Sus scrofa: one gene and its partners. Each later gene encodes a partner of the first gene's protein in a complex. Links are inferred from orthologs where the notes say so. Each region holds a gene or a part of one and is shown in the gene's direction. Other genes may lie near its edges. The genes, in order: VDAC1, PPIF and SPG7.

The links.
Region 2: VDAC1 (region 1) and PPIF share a complex: the UniProt entries of both Homo sapiens proteins name them as parts of the mitochondrial permeability transition pore complex. The link is inferred for Sus scrofa from reciprocal best matches to the Homo sapiens genes VDAC1 and PPIF.
Region 3: VDAC1 (region 1) and SPG7 share a complex: the UniProt entries of both Homo sapiens proteins name them as parts of the mitochondrial permeability transition pore complex. The link is inferred for Sus scrofa from reciprocal best matches to the Homo sapiens genes VDAC1 and SPG7.

The regions. Positions count from the first base shown.
Region 1 is NC_010444.4:136,317,779-136,321,965, reverse strand, and holds the start of VDAC1 (voltage-dependent anion-selective channel protein 1), read left to right. Parts: upstream 1-1,357; coding exon 1,358-1,424; intron 1,425-1,951; coding exon 1,952-2,001; intron 2,002-3,114; coding exon 3,115-3,267; intron 3,268-3,355; coding exon 3,356-3,408; intron 3,409-4,187. UniProt on the Homo sapiens protein: Non-selective voltage-gated ion channel that mediates the transport of anions and cations through the mitochondrion outer membrane and plasma membrane.
Region 2 is NC_010456.5:81,673,408-81,677,489, forward strand, and holds the start of PPIF (peptidyl-prolyl cis-trans isomerase F, mitochondrial), read left to right. Parts: upstream 1-1,264; 5' UTR 1,265-1,361; coding exon 1,362-1,556; intron 1,557-2,816; coding exon 2,817-2,847; intron 2,848-3,331; coding exon 3,332-3,420; intron 3,421-4,082. UniProt on the Homo sapiens protein: PPIase that catalyzes the cis-trans isomerization of proline imidic peptide bonds in oligopeptides and may therefore assist protein folding. Involved in regulation of the mitochondrial permeability transition pore (mPTP).
Region 3 is NC_010448.4:422,206-425,736, reverse strand, and holds part of SPG7 (paraplegin), read left to right. Parts: intron 1-3,271; coding exon 3,272-3,396; intron 3,397-3,531. UniProt on the Homo sapiens protein: Catalytic component of the m-AAA protease, a protease that plays a key role in proteostasis of inner mitochondrial membrane proteins, and which is essential for axonal and neuron development.

The DNA.
Region 1 (4,187 bases):
CGAAAAAATAGTGAAGTTCTTGTCTTTCTTGAACACCGAGGTGTTTAATAAATGCTTGTTGACTGGCTTAATGATATACAATAATCCCAAGTAGTACTTTGATAATTGGTTTTAAAAATGAAGTCATCATGGAATTCAATAAATTTTTGTTTGAATCAAATTTGAGGGGGATGTGGTTGCATTTCCTTCCCTATGAAGAGTTGCCTACTTAGGTTTTATTGTTGGTTTTTTTCTTTTTTTGCTTTTTAAGGCCACACCCACGGCATATGGAAGTGCCCAGGCTAGGGGTCCAATTGGAGCTGCAGCTGCTGGCCTACGTCACAGCCACAGCAATGTGGGATCCGAGCAGTATCTGCGACCCACACCACGGCTCACGGCAACGCCAGATCCTTAACCCACTGAGCAAGGCCAGGGATCGAACCCATGTCCTCATGGATCCTGGTCAGGTTTGTTACTGCTAAGCTGGGACAGGAACTCCAGTTTTTTTTTTTGTTTGTTTGTTTTCTCAGTGCAGAATATGATATCCCTGTTGATTCCTGTAAAATGCAAGTTTTGGGGTAATTTGGGTCCATTCTGACTCGCAGTAGGGACTCCATAAATATTTGTTGAATGAATGAAATTCGAATCTTAGGGAAAATCAGTTGTTCTGAAAAGCTCTGATTTCTATTTGTTGTATTAATGTCCTGGCAGTCGATATTTTGTAAGAAGATACGTTATATTGGCAAGAGTCCTGCCGTCGAGTGAAGTAGCTGCCTTCTGGGAATGCATCTTTGACAGTGAATTCATTTAGCTGATGTTGCCTGACTCCTCCCGTCTTCTGGGCCTGTGCTCAGTCCCAGGGATGCCTAGGAGAAGAGGTCCAAAGTCAGGCTGGGCGTTCCCGCTGTGGCTCAGCGGTTCACGAAACTGACTACCATCCAGGAGGATGCAGGTTCGATCCCTGGCCTCACTCAGTGGGTTAAGGATCCGGCGTTGCCGTGAGCTGTGGTGTAGGTCACAGATGTGGCTCAGATCTGGCATTGCTGTGGCTCTGGTGTAGGCTGGGGGCTACAGCTCCGATTAGACCCCTAGCCTGGGAACCTCCATATGCTGCCGGTGTGCCCCTAAAAAGCAAACAAACAAACAAAAAAACTAGAAAAAAAAAAACCAAAAACCCAAACCCCAAAAGTCAGGCTGGTTTGCTCTCAATAAAACTTATTGGGCATTTTAAGCTCTGGTCACAAAAAGAAGCAGCAGCCAGCACAGGCCTCTCCGCCTGCCACTGGGGGAACTCAGTGCTGATGATTTTTATTGGTGGAAACTCATAGCCGAAATTACCAATGTGTTTATTTTGGTGGTTTTTTTCTGGCAGCAGAAGATGGCTGTGCCTCCTACGTATGCCGATCTTGGCAAGTCTGCCAGGGATGTCTTCACCAAGGGCTATGGTGAGTGTCGCACGGAGTGGCCTTCCAGCTCGGAGGCGGGGGTGGCATGTTTGGGATTTTGCCCATCAGAGTTTGAGAGACTGGGGTCAGCTCGCTCTCAGACCTTTCATGTCAGGGAAAAAAAGATAAGCCTTCTACGGCTGGCCGAGCAGTTGTGGTTGTGCACCCAGTGCAGGTGGGCTTGCACATTGCTGCCAACAAGCGGGCGTTCTTGTTTCCTCTCGCAGGCAGGGAGCAGGTCTGTGGCTGCCGCTGCAGTGGATTGCAGCTTCTAAATTTAGCTTGTCCTTAGACATGTGCCCACGCGGTCATGCACCTTCTTCTCAGACTCCGCTGGGCGTGCAGGTGGGGCCTGGGCCTGTTCTGTCGGCCACGGTTCCATGGCAACCAGCCCCCCCCCAACACACGCAGCAGTGGTGACTGGTGCCCTCACACTCAGAGCGTGTTAAAGCAGACCGAGGGAGGCGGGGATGCTGTTTTCGAGTGAGTTATTTAACCTGCTAATAGCTACCATCTCCTCTCTTTAGGATTTGGCCTAATAAAACTTGATTTGAAAACAAAATCTGAGAATGGACTGGTAAGTTGTCTGGCCCACGCGGAGCATGGGTATTTATGCAGATCAGTATATAAAAAATAACTTCCTTCGGGGTGACCAACAAAGGGACTCTTCTGATTGTGGCAGCTTGTAGCTGTCCTTTGCATTGCATCCTTTGTAGGATTTGTGGTCCAGGGGAACCATGTGACCAGGTCCCCACTTCTTCAGCTGGATTCTAGTAGGAATATGGGGCAGGCTTCAGTTTTATTTTTCCTTATGCGTCTTATTTCAGAATCAGCCTCTGTTCCATACCATGTGATTACTTAAAATCTTTTTTTGCTTTTTTTTAGGGCCACACCCACGGCATATGGAAGTTCCCAGGCTAGGGGTCCAATTGGAGTTGTAGCTGCTGGCCTACACCACAGCCACAGCAACGCCAGATCCGAGCGGCATCTGCAACCTGCACCACAGCTCACGGCAACGCCGGATCCTTAACCCACTGAGCCAGGCCAGGGATCAAACCTGCAACCTTATGGTTCCTAGTCGGATTCATTACTGCTGAGCCGCAAAGGGAATGCCTAAAACAAAAACCTTAGTCTCTTTTAGATTGTACATGTGGTAATTGTTCGAAGAAGGATACTTCGGGTTGAATTCCTGCCACGTCAGCTTTAGCTCAAAAGCTTTTTCTCTCTAGGCTGGAGGCGGGATGGAAGGATTGCCTTCCTGTCCAGACTGAAGCGTTAACAGGGGAGGAAGGAAGCCGTGTCCTGATAAAGAATTCTCTGTAGTGGAGTTCCCTTGTGGCGCAGTAGGTTAAGGATGTGGCATTGTCACTGCAGCAGCTCCGGGCCACTGCTGTGGCACCGGTTCAGTCCCTGGCCTGGGAACTTTCGCATGCCTCGGGCACGGCCAGTAAAAGAATTCCCTGTAAGATTCCTTTCATTAGCCGGCTCCATCTGTACTTGAAATATCTCATTGAATTATCGAGTGAGGCTTTTCCTGCACGCATGCAAGGTGTCACCTCTTGCTTAAAGGAGAACAGAGGCCACGTAGGGGTGGCGTGGACTTGCTGCGGGGCTCCCAACATTTAGGGGGGGCGTGATGCAGAATGAAGCGTTGGCATGCAGGCCGTGACCCTCTTTCTTTTTTTTAAAGGAATTTACAAGCTCAGGTTCAGCCAACACGGAGACCACCAAAGTGACGGGCAGTCTGGAAACCAAGTACAGATGGACCGAATATGGTCTGACGTTTACAGAGAAGTGGAACACCGACAACACCCTGGGCACGGAGATTACCGTGGAAGATCAGGTAACTCGCCAAAGACGCGGTGTGACTGAGGGGCGGCTGCCGGCCCGTCTCGTGACTAACCCTGCTGGCGAATTTCTTCTCTGTTCAGCTTGCCCGTGGACTGAAGCTGACCTTTGATTCATCCTTCTCACCGAACACTGGGTAAGAATCTCATCCACCGTCTCCCTAAGGACAGCTAGCCGTGTCTTTTTTTATTTAATTTAATTTCTTTATTTTTCTTTGCCATTTCTAGGGCCACACCCGTGGCATATAGAGGTTCCCAGGCTAGGGGTCGAATCGGAGCTGTAGCCACTGGCCTGCGCCAGGGCCACAGCCACGTGGGATCCGAGCCGTGTCTGCGACCTAGACCACAGCTCATGGCATCGCCGGATCCTTAAGCCACTGAGTTCACCTCATGGTTCCTAGTCGGATTTGTTAACCACTGCGCCACGATGGGAATTCCTAGCTGTGTTTTATAGTGAGATTCTGTGCTGTGATTGTTCTGCTGGCCTCAGCTTGGAGGCTGCAGGATTTCTGGTCCAGGAATGCTGCATTCCCTGGGACTGAGGCTGCTGGTAATGTGAGTAGCCAAGGCCAGGGGGTGGCGCTGGGAAGCAGGGGCTAATGGGTCCCTGTGGCCAGCCCCCTTTCTTAGGCTTGATGGCCCTTTCCCCACCTTCTTACTTAGGGACACTGAGAGCATGTGGTCTTAACTACAAGGTGGCTCCAGAGGCTGCCTTTTTTTGCTCCAGGCCCTGGGGCCACACACAGATCAGACTTGTTGGTTATCAGGAGGAAAGGCGGGGAGTTCCCGTTGTGGCTCAGTGGCTAACGAATCTGACTAACATCCATGAGGATGCAGGTTCGATCCTTGGCCTTGCTCAGTGGGTGAAGAATCCAGTGTTGCCATGAGCAACAGTGTAGGTTGCAGACATGGCTCA
Region 2 (4,082 bases), on another chromosome or scaffold:
CCCTACCCTCTTTTCTAGCTCTTCAAAACTCTGAGCCACTGCAGCTGTGGCCCACTGCTATCTGAGCCCCAAACCCTGGGCAAAGTATAGACTCTGACTATCACTGATGCTTACAGCACAGTACTTAGCAGTTGACCAAGTTCTCTCTGTCTTGTTCTTTTTATCCTTGGAACAGACCTGGAAAACAAGTGGGGTAGGAATTAACATCACACCTATTCTGCAGAGGAGAAACTGAGGCCCAGAGAGAGGAGTCTGGGAGGACCGGTACAGGCTGGCAGTGGGGACTTCATGGTTCCCCTACTTCTGGGCAGCACCTTCCTGTCTCTGGGCCTCAGTTGTTCATCTGGAAAGTGTAGGTGTTGGCTCAGATGCTCTCTCAGGACCCCTGCCTGTCACTCATTTCCTGTAGGCTTCCCATGCCCCCCAGGCTCCAGTGAAGCCCACCTCAGCTTGTGGGGTAAATCTGCACAGTGGTAGCTCACACCCAGTTCCCCTCCTCTTCCCGTCTTACCTTTCCTCTCTTCCTTGCACCTCTTATGGATTGGCCCCTGTGCTATGTTACCTGCAGGAGCAGTTTCTCAGTGAGTGGGGGTAGAAGGGGAACCCTGGTTGCTGGGAACTAGGGCTGTCAGTCTGTGGGGTTGGGGAGGGGGAGATTCAGACCCAGTCCTGGTGGAGGACTGGGGGCCTGGTGGGAGCATGACAGGCTCAGGCTGAGTCTAGAGGGGGGACTGGTTTCTAGAAGCATTTGGAGACAAGCCCGGGCTAGGACAGGAATGCCTGAGGTCACCATGGGAGGTGTCTTGATCTCCTCCTGCCACTTCTCACTCTAATCCCGCATCTCATCTCCAACTTTCTTTGATTGACACTCAGTGCCACCTTTTCTCTTGGTCTGTACCTGTTCGCGGGGCCTATGGCAGGAGGGGCTGCCTATACAAAAGGCTCAAATGTAGACTTTTGTTATATTCAAATGAAAACACAGTACTCGCATTTTGGAGTTAGCCACTTTTTAGGATCCCCCCCGCCCGCTTTTTTTTTTTTTTTTTCCTATCTATTGGGACCCTCACAAAATGTCACCGGCCTCCTTTTGCAAGGTCGTGTCTAACTCTCAGGTCTCTAGCCCTGGTGTGGGTGTATTTAAAGGATTTTAGGCTAGCCGCTGTGCTTCCCGCTGGGGCCGGCAGAGGACAAGAGCGGACAGGCTGAAGGGGGCGTGGCGGAGGCGGGGCCCAGAGGCCGCCTGAGCCAATAAAGGCGGCGGCGCGCGGTCCCAGCTGACTCGGCCGCTCTGGGCGTGCGTGGTTCTCTTTGCTGTAGTCTCCGCTTGTCCTGGAGCTCTTGCACTCCGACCCGCGCTCACCATGCTGGCGCTGCGCAGCAGTCCCCGCTTGCTCCGTCTGCTCTCCGGCCCGCGCTCCGCGCCGCTGCGCCTCTCCGCAACCCGCGCCTGCAGCAGCGGCGGCGACTCCGGTGACCCGTCCTCTTCCGCCAGGAACCCGCTTGTGTACCTGGACGTGGGCGCGGACGGGCAGCCGCTGGGCCGCGTGGTTCTGGAGGTGAGACCACTGGACAGGACCGCGCTGGACTGAGAGTGAGGGACGGTCCCGGAAGAGCCCTGGACTCCGGGCCGGCGCTGTGTCTGGCTCGCTGTGTGACCTTGCTTCCTGCTCTGGGCCTCAGTTTCCCCATCTCTAAGAAGAGGCATCAGATTGGTCTCTCCGGGCCTCCCCTCGGATCTTTAGACCAATGGAAGTGGGGCGGGGGGAAGGTGGGGGAGGGCGCCCGTGGAGGAGAAAGCTCAAGGTCAGAATGTAGGCAGGAGGGCCTGTCCCGGCAGGCCGGCTCCGAGTTTGGGGAAGGGCTCCGAGATCTCACGGGGTGGGAGCGCAGGCCCAGAGCTCTGAGGTGGGTGTCGGGGTGGAGGGGGCAGGCTCTCCAGGATCCAGGCGGCTGACCCGCTGTGCGCTCACGTGGCGGCCCTTGCATAAGATGGAGCGTCCCCGGCCCTGCTCCTGCCATGGGGCGCATGGTTGAGCAAAGGTGCTTTGGGGCCGCCTCCTCTCCTGGTGGGTGCTGGCTGGGCCGGCCGCGGCCCCAGGAGTCGGGACCCTGTGTTCAGAACTCTTTGCCCCAACGCCAACCTGTCACCTTCCCAGGGTAACGCTTAGTGCCTGCCCCTGACTCTTTGGGCCTTTTTTTTTTTTTTTTTTAAAGCAGGGAACAAATATGTAGTCTGGAAGGTAACAGAGGGAACGCTCCTGTGTAGTTCTTGAGCCTGGCCTGCTTTTGAACACAGGCGCCTCAAGCCTCTGTTTCTTCTTCCGGAAAATGGAAAGCACCCATTTATTTTAAAGGTTTGGCACCAGGGCAGCTCTTGAAGCTGGGAAGCAAGAGGCTGGCTTGAATGGGGCTCCGGCCTCCCCCCTTTCCACCAGCCTCCTGCCTCTCTCTGAGCCTCAGTTTCCCATCTGCCCATTGAGGAGCTTGGGGGGCCCTCTCTCCAGGCCCTGAGTCTCTGATGCTTTGGGCCCAGCTGAAGTAGCTCTGCTAGGTCTGCCTCTAGAAGCAGGCCAAGATGGTGTTGTCATCTCTTCTGACAGGTTAGGAAATCGAGGCTGCCTCCTGCCAGCCCTGGGTTGAGGAAGCAGCTGGCAGAAGTGATAGCCACAGTGGCTTCCCACGGAGGGCTGGGAGTGACAGAGGGCTGGGAGTGACAGGAATGGTGCTCTCTTTGTCTTTCCTGGGCCTCCGTGGGAGTTGGGTCCTTCCTTCACCTGCCTCTGGACTGATGTCCTGCCCTCTTTCTCTCCCCACAGCTGAAGGCAGATGTCGTCCCAAAGACAGCAGGTAAGGCAGGGCCTGGGCCCTTCTGAGTCTGGTCTGGATGCAAGAGAGGGTGGGATGGCTAGAGGAGTTGGGGCATGAGATCTGTGACCAGATGGGTACCCTGGGGTAGCCTTCTGGCCCTCTGAGCCTCAGAGTTGGCCTTGCCCACCTATCTGGTAGTAGCCTCAGAATCAGTAGAAGAAATATGTGCATTTCCTCTGGGACAACTTCCTCCAGTGGGTCAGTATGATGGCTTCATAGCCCTTGGGCTCCCTGCCCCGCTGACCTGGTGCTGGAACATCCAGGAGCCTTAGCTCTTGCCATGGTGCTCGGACATTGAGGTCAGGGTACAAGGTCACCCAGCTAGAGCAGACCCAGGTTGCAGGGCTTTCCATACCCTGCTTACCTCCTGGGGTGGGAGGGTAAAGAGTGCTCTGGCTGGAAGCATTGTAGCCCCTGGGTTAAGGCCTGGCGCTACTGATCTGCCTCTTTCTCCAACCCTCAGAGAACTTCAGAGCCCTGTGCACCGGGGAGAAGGGCTTCGGCTACAAAGGCTCCACGTTTCACAGAGTCATTCCATCCTTCATGTGCCAGGTATCTCAGATCTCTCCCTGCCTTCGGTTCCTCTTCTGTAAGTGGGGATAGAGATGGGGTCGCCTCGGAAGATTGTCATGGGGAGTAACCAGGGTGCACACACCTGGTGCCTGGAAAGTCTGAATGGAAGGCAACTGCCATCACTCTCTCAGCCTGGCCTCTCACTGGAGCTTGTCCTGGCTGATGTAGAAAACTTCCCTGCCCCAGGAGTTGAGCAACAGGGCAAGCGGCAGGACGGGGCAAACGGCAGGATGGCCCTACCTTACGCAGTCAGGAGAGTTGAGCAATGGAGGGAGAACCAGCATTGGGGTGTGGATGTGCTCAGGGGTAGATCTGAAGGCTTTGGCGGACTACTGAAGCAGTCTCTGCCCGTATCCCAACGAGCACTTGGCATAGGGGAAAAGGAGGAGGTGGAAGAGGGAGAAAGACCCAGCACAGACAAGAACACACAGGTCTGTACTTGAAGCCTCTTTTCAGATAAGGGCATCTGTCTCAGTTAAACGAGTATGTTTTTTCATCATGTGTTCTGCCTCTTTTCCAAAGCATTTTTAAAAAGCTGCTGTGTCAGAGGTTTTGAGGGTAGATGTCGACAGCAAGAACTTTCCCAAGGGCCAGGAGCCAAGCTATGCTGGGGGTTGTCCTGAGTTAGGTCAGGTCCAGCT
Region 3 (3,531 bases), on another chromosome or scaffold:
GGCGGGAAGCTCTGCAGTTGGACAGCGACGTCTCACAAGCCGAGGAAAGGGCTGCTCCTCGTCCTGAGAGCGGTTGACGTCTGGGGCCCTGGAGACCTTCCAGGGACCCGCTCATCCGCGTGTCCATCAGGACAGCGCAGGACGTGGCTCCCAGGCCACTTGAAAGAGCCGGGGCACGAAGACCGAGCTTCCTCAGGGCCCGATCCCGACGGCTCGGTGTCTTCAGACCTGAGCCGAGGCTCTGGAGTCGCACCAGGGGGCCTGCGGGGCGCCTCCCGGGCCAGGTCCCGGCCCCTCAGCCGCGGCCGCCCCCGGCTCTGCTTTTCCACCAGCGCCCAGAGCGCCTGGTCTGAAGAGTGAACCCCGGAGCCGCCACGTCTGACAAGCACGCTCCTGGCAGGGCCGCGTGGGCTGAACCACGGCTGCTCTCTTTGAACACCGGGTGACCGTCTTGATGCCGAGGGACTGGCGGGAGGGTGTGGCCTCCTCGCATTGGTCGTGCAGACGTCTCATCCAGCGCTGCCCAGGGTGCACGGGGGGCTCTCCACCCTGATTCTCTGAGCCGGGGTTTCTGCACCGGGAAGGGAGGCTGACGGGTGCGGCCTTGCGTGTGGTTGTGACCTTGCGTGTGTGTGACGGCGGAGGCTTGCTGGTGGCTCCGCTGCAGGCGGGCACCCAGGCCACGGGAGCGTCACCCTGTCTCTGCTGCTGTTGCTTCTGCCTCGAAGACAGACGTGCGCCTCGGGGAGCATTTCCCACGTGGCGCCTGCTCTGCCTGCGCCCTGCTGCCCTGGGCAGAGCTTCTGCTGTGCCACCGCTTCGGCCCCCACGACCTGCCCGGGAGCCCGCGGAGCAGCCTGTAACCCAGGGAGTGGGGTCATGGGAGAGCCTGTGGGAGCCTCCCAGTCACTCGGAGCCACAGGCCGCCTGGCCAGGGTCCCAGGTCGGTGGGCGCAGAAGTGGCTCTGTGCTGGGTTCTGCATCCACCCTCTGTTTTGCCAAGTTGGGCGGCGTGAGTGCATCAGAGCCCAGAGGCCTGGCCAGCAAGGACCGCTGCGCGCCCAGGGACGGTGTCTCGTGCTGGCCTCTGGCGGGAAGAGACCAGGGGGTCTCACCTGCTGCACTGAGGGTCAGCGCCTCTGCAGTGAGATGAGGGAGAGGCAACCCCTTCACCAGGCCTGTGGCCGCGGTAGGTGAGTTTGTGTGTAAGGCGTGCGGTCTGGTCGTCACTTTTGGTCTGGTTGAGCCTGGGATTAGAACACTGTCCTCCCCTGAACTCACCGTCACGGAGCCTCGGCCAGGCACCTCCGGACAGTCTGCCCTCGCACACGCCCCACGGCCCTCATCGCGTAGCCGCGGGCGGGGGCCGAGCTCTGTTCTTGACCAGAACCGTAGCTGCTTGCTTTGCCTTTTCATGTAATTTTAGAATCAGCCTGTCCGTATCTGCCAAGGACTCTTGCTGAGGTTTTGATAGAAACACACCCCTGGCCGCGCTGTGTCAGATGTGGTGGGAACGCCGGGTGAGCTGCCGGCCGTGTGAAGAAATTGGACCCTGATGTGAGCGAGGCAGCTGCAAAAACACGCCTGTGTGCGGCAGAAGCAGCCCTGACCTTGTGGTGGGGACAGTGTGCGGCCTCTTGGAGCAGCCCTGACCCCTGTCCGCAAACACGTGTACCCTGCCGGGCACAACCTGTAATCGCTGAAGACTCGACACCCGCTGTCCTCAGAGCGTGTGTGGTTAAGTCCCATGCTCTTACCGAGAAGCTGGCAGCTGGGACACACGACTGGGTGGCTGGAACAGGCCAACCTGAGAGATGGCAGATCGGAGGATTCGATTGGTGGGGAAATGGTCAGAATGACAGACCTCGAGGGTGGAGGGCAGGTGGCGGCCGTGTAGGGAGGTCTCCGTGGGGGTGGCATTCGTCCCCGGGGGACAGAGGGGACGGGGTATGGGGCTGGCAGTTACTGAATAGGCTGGTTTCTTTGCACCTTGTGGTGTGTCTGCAACCGCGTAAGTTCTGGGACGAGACCCTGTAGTTCACTTGCTTCACCCAGAGGGCGGAGCCCTTCTGCGGGAGGCCCCGGGGCTGTGCCCGCAGCCCCGTGACGCGGGCGCCCCTGCCCAGCCGCTCTCTCCTCCCGTACCCGTTATTCCTGCTGTTCCTCCACGTTAATACAGCGGCAGGATTCTGTCCACAGCTCCCGCCTGTGGAAGGCGGGCTTTGCAGGAGTGCGGGGGGAGCCCGCTTGGCTTCCTAGCAGGGTTGCCCCTCTGGCCCCGGAGCCTGTCTGTCCAGGACTCTCCCTCTGGCCACACATCCTGTCTGTTGACACTTGTTCGCCTCAGTTTCTTCCAGATTAATTTTATAAATCTCTAGTGGGAGAGGTCACAGCATCTCTGTCTTTTAAACTTTGTATTCTGGAACTTTTCAAATACCCATCAAAGCAGAGGCGAGTGGGCGTCGAGCCCCGTGTCCCCTGCAGCGGGCGCATACTCAGCCAGTCCCCCCCGCCCCCGGCCCCCGCGCGTGTCCCGTTGTATGGCAGACCGAGTGTTCTGGATCGTGGGTGCTCTGTGTGCCTTTCTTTAGGTCTGGAGCACTGCTGCGGGCACCGCCGCGTGTGTTCCTACTCGTGCCCAGCACCTGTCAGGCTCACACCTGGCTCTGCGCCCCAGTGATGGTTCTGGACTTGCTTTCAAATCCTTGTGAGAGGAAGTTCCTGTTGTGGCTCCGCAGTAACGAACCCGGCGAGCATCCATGAGGATGCAGTTCAGTCCCTGCCTCGCTCAGTGGGTTAAGGATCTGGCGTCGCCGTGAGCTGTGGTGTGGGGCGCAGACGCAGCAGCTGCAGCTCTGATTCAACCCCTAGCCTGGCACCTTCATACACCTCAGGGGCGGCCCTGCAGCAGAAATCCTCACGCGAGAAACCTGGGCGGGAAACGCGGGGCCCTGAGCCAGTGCTGAAGGCAGTGCCCCCGCCCCCGTGGCGACCCGTGTCCCCTCGTCCCCTCGTCCCTCCCCCAGGTCACTGTCTTGACGTGGGGGTGGAGCTGGGTTCTGAGCTGCAGCTCTGCCCCTGGGCTCTGGCCTGGGAGCTAAGGGGTGGCTCGTAGGGGGTTTTGGTGGTCGAGCCTCGAGGCGGGTCCACGTTGCTGCCTTCAGAATGATGGTGCTGGTGCCCCGTCTCTCCAGCCGCGGGTCCTTGGAGGGTGTCCCCAGGGAAGCCGCTCGGTTGAGAGCACCCCCAACACCCCTGTCTGTCCATCTAGGAATGGGCACCACCGACCACGTCATTGTCCTGGCGTCCACCAACCGAGCTGACATTCTGGACGCCGCTCTGCTGCGGCCAGGCCGACTGGACCGGCACGTGTTCATCGACCTCCCTACGCTGCAGGTGGTGCGGCCTGGCTGCCCTCTGGCCCACACGTCCCCGCGGGGCTGGTCTGTCCGGGCCTCGGCTCCCTGCCCGCCTGGTTTTGACCCCCGTGGTTTCCTCTTGATCCTCAAAGGTCTGCGCTGAGCCCGGGCG